Linked DNA regions of Tribolium castaneum. The protein of the gene in region 1 binds, or shares a complex with, the protein of each later gene. Links are inferred from orthologs where the notes say so. Each region holds a gene or a part of one and is shown on either strand. Other genes may lie near its edges.

Region 1 (2,778 bases):
TAACACTGACTTTTTAATGGGAACATAAAAATCTTGATTTGTTTTCTATTTAATGGATTTACATAATTTTTAATTCATAGTCTGGGTAATGGAAAAACCAAGTTTTTATTTATTTTGTCAAAATTGTGTGGAAATAAAAGTCCATATAATTAATATAATACTTAATATATATAATTAATTATCATTCCAGTTTGGTTCCAAGTCTTTAATTTTCTGAGACTAGTAACTTTTGAATATTTGGTCAAAGTCTAATGTAAGTATAGCTTATTTGCGATAATATTCTATGACTTTTATCACTAGCGCTGTAATTAATTTCTTTTTGGAGTAAACAGGTGAAGACCAGAAGTAGAAATGTTAATATTTATCACATGTAAATATAGAAAGTGGTGTTACTCGAAACGTGCTATTGCAAAACTGCAAAACACGTAAAAAAAGAAGCTTTTTCTACAACTGTTAGAATTATCGGTTGGACCTCTATTATTTCGTGTTGGTGTTTATACAAATTTAGTATTCTAGGGACATCACGCAGATAACTTATTAATAAGTTAGGGATTTGTGTTTGAAATAACATCTCTGATATGGATATTGATTATCATATTTTTACAACAGAACTGTTTCGAACAATTGTTTTAGACCAAAAACGGTATAGATTTTATACCGTAAATATGTATTTTAGGCTTTCTTTATTTACATGCTAGTGCTAGCCAGTGTTTGTTTTCTTTTTCGTTTCCGATATTTTGCTGTGTTACATTACGCAAGGTTTCCCAGTGGTTGCGAAATGATCAAAAACGAATTTTCCGAAGGTTGCGAAACTTGCGCCGGTTCCAAAACATGGGTTGGTCGATCTTAACGACCCATCGATTTGCAAACAAAAATAGCCAATTCAGTGTTGGCATCTTCTCATGTTATTAAAGAGCCGATCCATAACGGAATCACTTGAGACATCCCTAAAGGTTACACGTGCCCCTTATTACATTCTCGTAACGAGAATCGCATTTAATTGCTCGTCGACGACATCAATCTGAAAGGATACACTTTCAATTGTTGTCAGCGAATTTATTAGCATTTATTTATAGAAGAGTAAGCAAACGGAGTAATGTGAACTTGTGGCAGGTGTGGCGAGGTCGATGAAGATTCGGAAGGAAGGAAAATTGTGTAAAACATGTCACAAAGTTGGCAAAGCCAACAAAGTGAATGAATCTTTGTGACGCGTCTGCAAAAGAAAATGAACGAAGCGAAAAGACTAAAATTAGAAGTGTCAACGAAAGCTGCGTTAACTCCAGTTTTAGCGGACGATTTAACCCAGGAATTGCCACTTATCGAAGTTTATTTAGCCACAATCAAGGACCCCAAAACCATATCCAGGGTTGTAGTTGAGTTGAATTCACTGTTGCCAGTTCCCGAACTCACTCATCTGAAGCGAGTCAAAGGGAGGGAAATTCTACTTTTCCCCAAGGAAATTGTGGAGAGGGATAATGTCACAAAATTTTTGTCTGGAAAAGGGTTCAATACCAACCTAATTGAGAGTGACATCAAAGTGGGGAAAGTGGCCCAAATCGCGCCAAAAGTGCGCAAGCAGTACGAAGTGGTCCACAAGCTGTGGCCGTGCAATTTCCACAGCAATCCCTACCTGGAAAAGCTCAGCACGAATTCGCTTTTCACGCAAAGTGAGTTGGAAAAGCACGCTGAGTTCATGAGGATTGCGATCGATATTTGCGAAATCACGGGAGTTAGGGAGAGTGCAGTTGTGGTTGATCCTGTTGGTGGCACCGTTGTGGCTTTTGGGTTCGACTTGACCCAGGAATACCCTGTCAAGCATGCCGTGATGGTGGCCATTGACGAGGTGGCAAGGACTCAGAAAGGAGGCGTCTGGGAGAGACACCAGGACTACGAAAAAATTCAGACTTTCGTTGAAACGAAATACAAGAATTTGGGGTTTGGGTTCAGCAATTCGGCCGAGGGTCCCTACCTGTGCACCGGCTATTCCGTTTATTGTACCACTGAACCGTGCATCACTTGTGCCATGGCTCTGGTGCACAGTCGCGCGAAACGGGTTTTCTACGGTGTCAAAAGTGCCAAAGGTGCTTTGGGGAGTTTGTGCAAAATTCATGTAGTGGAGAATTTGAACCATCATTACGAGGCGTTTTCCGGACTGTTGGAAGAGGAATGCCGAGCTTGACGTTACCCTTAATTTGTGTACAAGCTGTGGGATTAAAGCGAGTGATTCCTTGACCTCTATAGAATAGATAGTCGTTAAACTTTTGTTATACGAGATAACGCTCGCTTTGATTACAGATATTGACAGAAACATTTTATTTGAAACGTCGTGTTAGTCGTGAAGTGCTAGGTTTTGTTATTATGGAGCTTTCGGTGAGTTGTAATTGGTTTTGCGGTAATGAAATTTTGCGCCGAAACAAGTGCGTCATCAGCCTTAGATAACGTAAAATTTGTGCACTTGTCCAAATCACGCTTTTGTCGCGTTATGTAAGGACGATTTTACTAAATGTAGCATGTATTCATGTTTGTTTTATACTTAATTGTATGATAAAAACTGTATGCTTACTGTGAAATATATTTTTTAACTCGAATATTTGTTGATTTTCATTTCATAATGGTGTGCTAAATCGCAAAGGTCATTGTTGCAAATCGCATCCTTTTAGAAAATTTGCGTCAATGTTAATCAAGAGATACTGAAAAAAAGTGATTTGGTTTAAAATGTTTCGCGTAGTAAACAAATCTTGAAATAGAAAAAGAAATTAAACACTAGCCAAATTGTGA
Region 2 (4,155 bases), about 9.6 Mb from region 1:
ACCAAGGGCCACTTGCAGAAGCATGAGCGAAGTGCTAGTCATCACAACAAAGTAAAATTTGGTTTTTGTTTTGTTGTGTTTTGATTTAGTTTTTTAGCTGTCGTCATCGCCTGCTTTGTCCTCGTCGGAGCCTCGGCCGTTTAAATGCGTCGATTGTAATATAGCGTTTCGAATTCACGGCCACCTAGCGAAACATTTGCGCTCGAAAATGCACATCATGAAATTGGAGTGTCTCGCGAAAATACCGTTTGGTTTGTACGCAGAGTTGGAAAGGTCTAACAGTCTGTTGACGGAAATTAACACTGCTGATGGGGACCAATGTTTAGAGAGCTTAAAGGTTGGTATCAAGCGACGAATCGGCGAGTGGATTAATTGTTCTGTTGCAGACTTTAGCCAAGAAAGTTTTTATCAACGATCCAAATAAATTAAATCAATTGAATTCAGCGGAGAGTATAGATGCCGATAGCTAGGTAAATTAATTTAATTTTGTCAAGACTGAATCAAAATCTTAACAAAAAAAGAGTATACATTTTATAACACTATAGTAGAAATTAAATATAAAAGATATATTTTAAATCATCTCTCATGTGTCAAATATGTTATGTGATATATGAATAAGCTAGGTAGATGTGTTGGAATCATGTTTTAGTTGGCGGCGATTTTATTTTTACATTTTGTTTTTATATGCAAGCGACTCCCAATCGTTTTATTTTTATTTGGTTGTACAGTGGGAATCAAGTTATTTTATATTTTGATCTTGTTTTAAGATTATCTTCCTTAAGTTGATATTATTACCTGTTTTTAGGTATTTTACATAGAGACATTATTCTTAAGTTTTAAGTGTTGTATAATAGACAATGTTAAGATAATTTTCATCGTTGTAAATATTGTTTATGTTAGGCAATTTGTGTACTGTTTGTAGCTACATGAGTTAACACACTTCTGTAATCTTCGAGGTTATGAGATTCTCATTTGTGCCAGACACTCAGCTCTATTCTTTTTTAAACTGTAGTCTTGCAGGAAATTAAACTTCTTTTGTGCAAACTGTTAGTTTATATTGTTGAAAAAAGTACAAGATTATTATAATTGTTATTGATGAAATTTTGTTTTAAATATAACTATTAATTTTCCTCTGCGTTTTATTTAAACAAATGACTGAAACACCTTCCAATTAGTGCCATTACACATAACCATCCCAAACGTTGGTATGAGTTACGTTGGTACTCCTTTTTACCAAATTACAGGAACCTGTAGTTTTAATTTATGTTTACCAAACAAACACGAAAATTGCCTTCTGGAGCCAGAAAAGCCGCAAAAATTGATGGGACTGATCGAAAAGGTTGGTAGTTTCCGCCCCTTAACCATGCTGAAGCGCAAGCTGTCCAAGCCGTCCCTTGATAACCCCCTTAAAATCGCACGTGCCGACTTTGCCCAAAAATTCCTGGACATCCAGCTCGAACTCAACACAGCTCTCAAGCCCCTCCGGTTCAAGCCGCCGGTGGCGTACGTCTACAACCCCGTAGAGTACGCCTTCAAGGCGAACGAAAGCTACGTGCGCAAGTACTGCCAGGGCCCCAAAAAACTGCTCTTTTTGGGCATGAATCCCGGCCCCTTCGGCATGTGCCAGACGGGGGTGCCTTTCGGCGAGATCAAGTCGGTGCGCGATTGGTTGGAAATCGAGGAAGAAGTCGGTAAGCCGGAGAAAGAGTGCCCCCAGCGCCCCGTTCTGGGCTTCGCCTGCACCCGCTCGGAAGTCAGCGGGGACCGGCTCTGGAACGTGCTGAAAAAGCTGTGTGGCAGTCCCGAGAATTTTTTCAAGAATTGTTTCATTTATAACTATTGTCCGATCGCTATGTTGAGGAGCGATGGGGGCAACTTGACTCCGAGGGACATCAAGGTATTTGCTAACTTTGTTCAAAAATTAAAAAAATTTGCTTTTATGATTTATCTAATAATTGTGCGAAATTATTCTGTATGTATTTTTGTTGCAGGACACCCAAGTCTTGGAGGAAATCTGCGACCGCCACTACTTTAAAATCATAGAATTGCTTCAGCCTGAAATAATTATCGGGATCGGGGAGTATGCAGAGAAGCGGTCTTTGGCCACTTTGAAGAACAACAACAGCAACATCCGGGTCATCAGGTTGCCCCACCCGAGCCCCCGCTCGAAAAACAACCAAAACTGGGCCGAAAAGGCCGAAACTTTTTTCAAAAACCACGACTTGCTGAAATACATGACTGATGGAGCCCCTACTGACCAAAACTGAGCAGGAATTCATGGAGCGAGCCTTCCAGCACGCCTACGAAGCCCTCGCAGCCCAGGAAGTCCCAGTAGGTTGTATTTTTGTCCATAATAACACTGAAATCGCCTTTGGGCGCAACACAGTCAATCAAACAAAAAACGCAACAAGACATGCGGAAATTAACTGCATTGAGCAAGTGACCGACTATTGCAAAACAAATAATTTTAATTTGATTGATTTTTTTAAAGGAGTGACTGTTTTTGTGACCGTTGAGCCGTGCATTATGTGCATCAATGCGTTGTTTGACTTGCAAGTGCAAACTATTGTTTTTGGGTGTAGGAATGATAGGTTTGGGGGGCGCACTGTGTTTGATGTTGCGGGGGTTGTGCACCCGAAAACTATCATTAAAGGGGGCTTTAGGGCCGACGAGGCTATGAATTTGCTAAAGGAGTTTTACAAGGGGGTTAATCCGAGTGCCCCCCCTTCTAAGGTCAAAGTTAGGGGCAAAAAAACATAGGCTAAGTTTTTTACTGTTACGTTTTGATACGAAAAGTTGTTTCCTTAAGAATAAATTTTAATTTCTGTTTCACTTAAACCGCAACATTTTTATCAAATTGACTGTTTCTATCCCAAAAATATCACACATCCAACTGTCTAAAAACCCCAAACTTCCTATGCTTTTAACAATTTTTTAACTATTTGAAGGATAATTATTTTTTTTGCACGTTGTTGTTACATGAATTTAATTTTTAACGAAACTCGCTCAGAAATTACGTTTCCGTTTGAAAAATGTACTAAACCGATGGAAAAAGGCTAAAATAATGCCAAAATCTAGAAGAAACGAGTGATTTTAACGCCTCACTTTTTGGAAATTCGCTAATTCTGTTTCTGACTAAAAGGCTTCAGAAATCTTTGTGCTGTTTACGTAATTTTTTAAATATTGTTAAATCAATAAAATACTTACTTTTCCAACTTGCTTGGGCATTTTGAACTTTAGGGTGCGTGTCACCCTGTAATATCTCTCCCTAGCAGCGGCAAAGGTTAAAAGAGAAAGAATTCAAACGTCGTAAGCGTCATTTTAACTTATTATTTATGCAATAATTTAAATCTAGATTTCTTATCTACAAATTTCAATATAAAAACGTACATCTTTTATAAATAATGATATAATACAAAAAAATGGCCGAACCTGTGGAACTAATAACATTTGAAAGAAAAAACCGACTAAGTAACTATGGAGGACAATGTATAAGAGTGTCTATTGTGATGCGATGCATGTCCATAAATAATCGAAAAACGAAACGAAAAACCTGCTCGAAGCACTTTACACTTACTGTCTCTACACCTAACGAAAACAAAACTGGAATCGAGAACAGCCCTTTAAAATTTAGGAATGAAACAACACTGGTATTAAAACTCTCAAAACTCAAAAATGAAAGCCCACTTCAGACGGTTTCAACGCTCGCTGAATGGCCATTAGTCTGCGAGTAGTCGAGCACGGGACTCGGCGGCGCCTCGGCCGAGCAACAGCTGCTACTACTACTGCTCGTGCTCGAGCACGAGTCGTTCGAATCCGTCTCGGAATCTTCCGAATCCGAACTGCAAGTCTTACTACGCAACGCGGCGTTTTCGCGTTTTAAAGCTTCGTTTTCGATCGTCAGTCTTTCAACTTCGCTCTGGAGCTCCACCGACGAGCTGGTGGAGGTGACCTCTCTTTTGCGTTGCCGCTTCGTCAGCAGCTCCAGTTTGCTCTCGAGCATGAGGTACTCCTGGATGAGTTCGTCTTTCGACATTGATTGCAGTCTTTCCGCCTGGACGCTCTCGTACTGATCGACAAAGTCCTTGATCAGGAACTGCTCCTCGTCGTCCGGAGACGAGTAGAACTCGCCTTCTGAGTCCACGCTGAAGCTGG

What was found. The genes of interacting proteins can lie anywhere in the genome.
Region 2: the proteins of probable inactive tRNA-specific adenosine deaminase-like protein 3 (region 1) and tRNA-specific adenosine deaminase 2 are in contact, whole or in part, in a crystal structure (PDB 9HMM), measured with the Mus musculus proteins. The link is inferred for Tribolium castaneum from reciprocal best matches to the Homo sapiens genes ADAT3 and ADAT2. Residues at the interface, in NP_001094076.1 of Mus musculus: Val217, Ala218, Pro220, Leu221, His223, Ile229, Asp230, Ala233, Gln236, Gly237, Glu270, Ser272, Pro274, Val276, Val290, Met291, Met294, Ala295, His298, Ala299, Pro311, Asp312, Leu318, Phe319, Val321, Arg324, Asp326, Leu327, Asn328, Pro349; in NP_080024.3 of Mus musculus: Val62, Asn63, Lys66, Asn67, Ala68, Thr69, His71, Met74, Ile77, Leu81, His85, Pro91, Cys107, Ile108, Met109, Ala112, Ala113, Leu116, Met117, Arg130, Phe131, Val137, Leu138, Ile140, Asp144, Leu145, Pro146, Asn147, Thr148.

What each region holds. Positions count from the first base shown.
Region 1 is NC_087396.1:13,020,123-13,022,900, forward strand, and holds probable inactive tRNA-specific adenosine deaminase-like protein 3, read left to right. Parts: upstream 1-1,225; coding exon 1,226-2,179; downstream 2,180-2,778.
Region 2 is NC_087396.1:22,588,497-22,592,651, reverse strand, and holds the start of tRNA-specific adenosine deaminase 2, read left to right. Parts: upstream 1-1,209; 5' UTR 1,210-1,339; exon of another isoform or gene 1,340-1,363; coding exon of another isoform or gene 1,364-1,897; intron 1,898-1,991; coding exon of another isoform or gene 1,992-2,143; 5' UTR 2,144-2,195; coding exon of another isoform or gene 2,196-2,229; 5' UTR 2,230-2,241; coding exon 2,242-2,760; 3' UTR 2,761-3,688; coding exon of another isoform or gene 3,689-4,155. Other genes in the region: uncharacterized protein LOC660305, read left to right, coding at 1-51, 98-337, 387-470; Smug (single-strand selective monofunctional uracil DNA glycosylase), read left to right, coding at 1,364-1,897, 1,992-2,143, 2,196-2,229; Hexim (protein HEXIM1), read right to left, coding at 3,689-4,155. UniProt on the Homo sapiens protein: Probably participates in deamination of adenosine-34 to inosine in many tRNAs.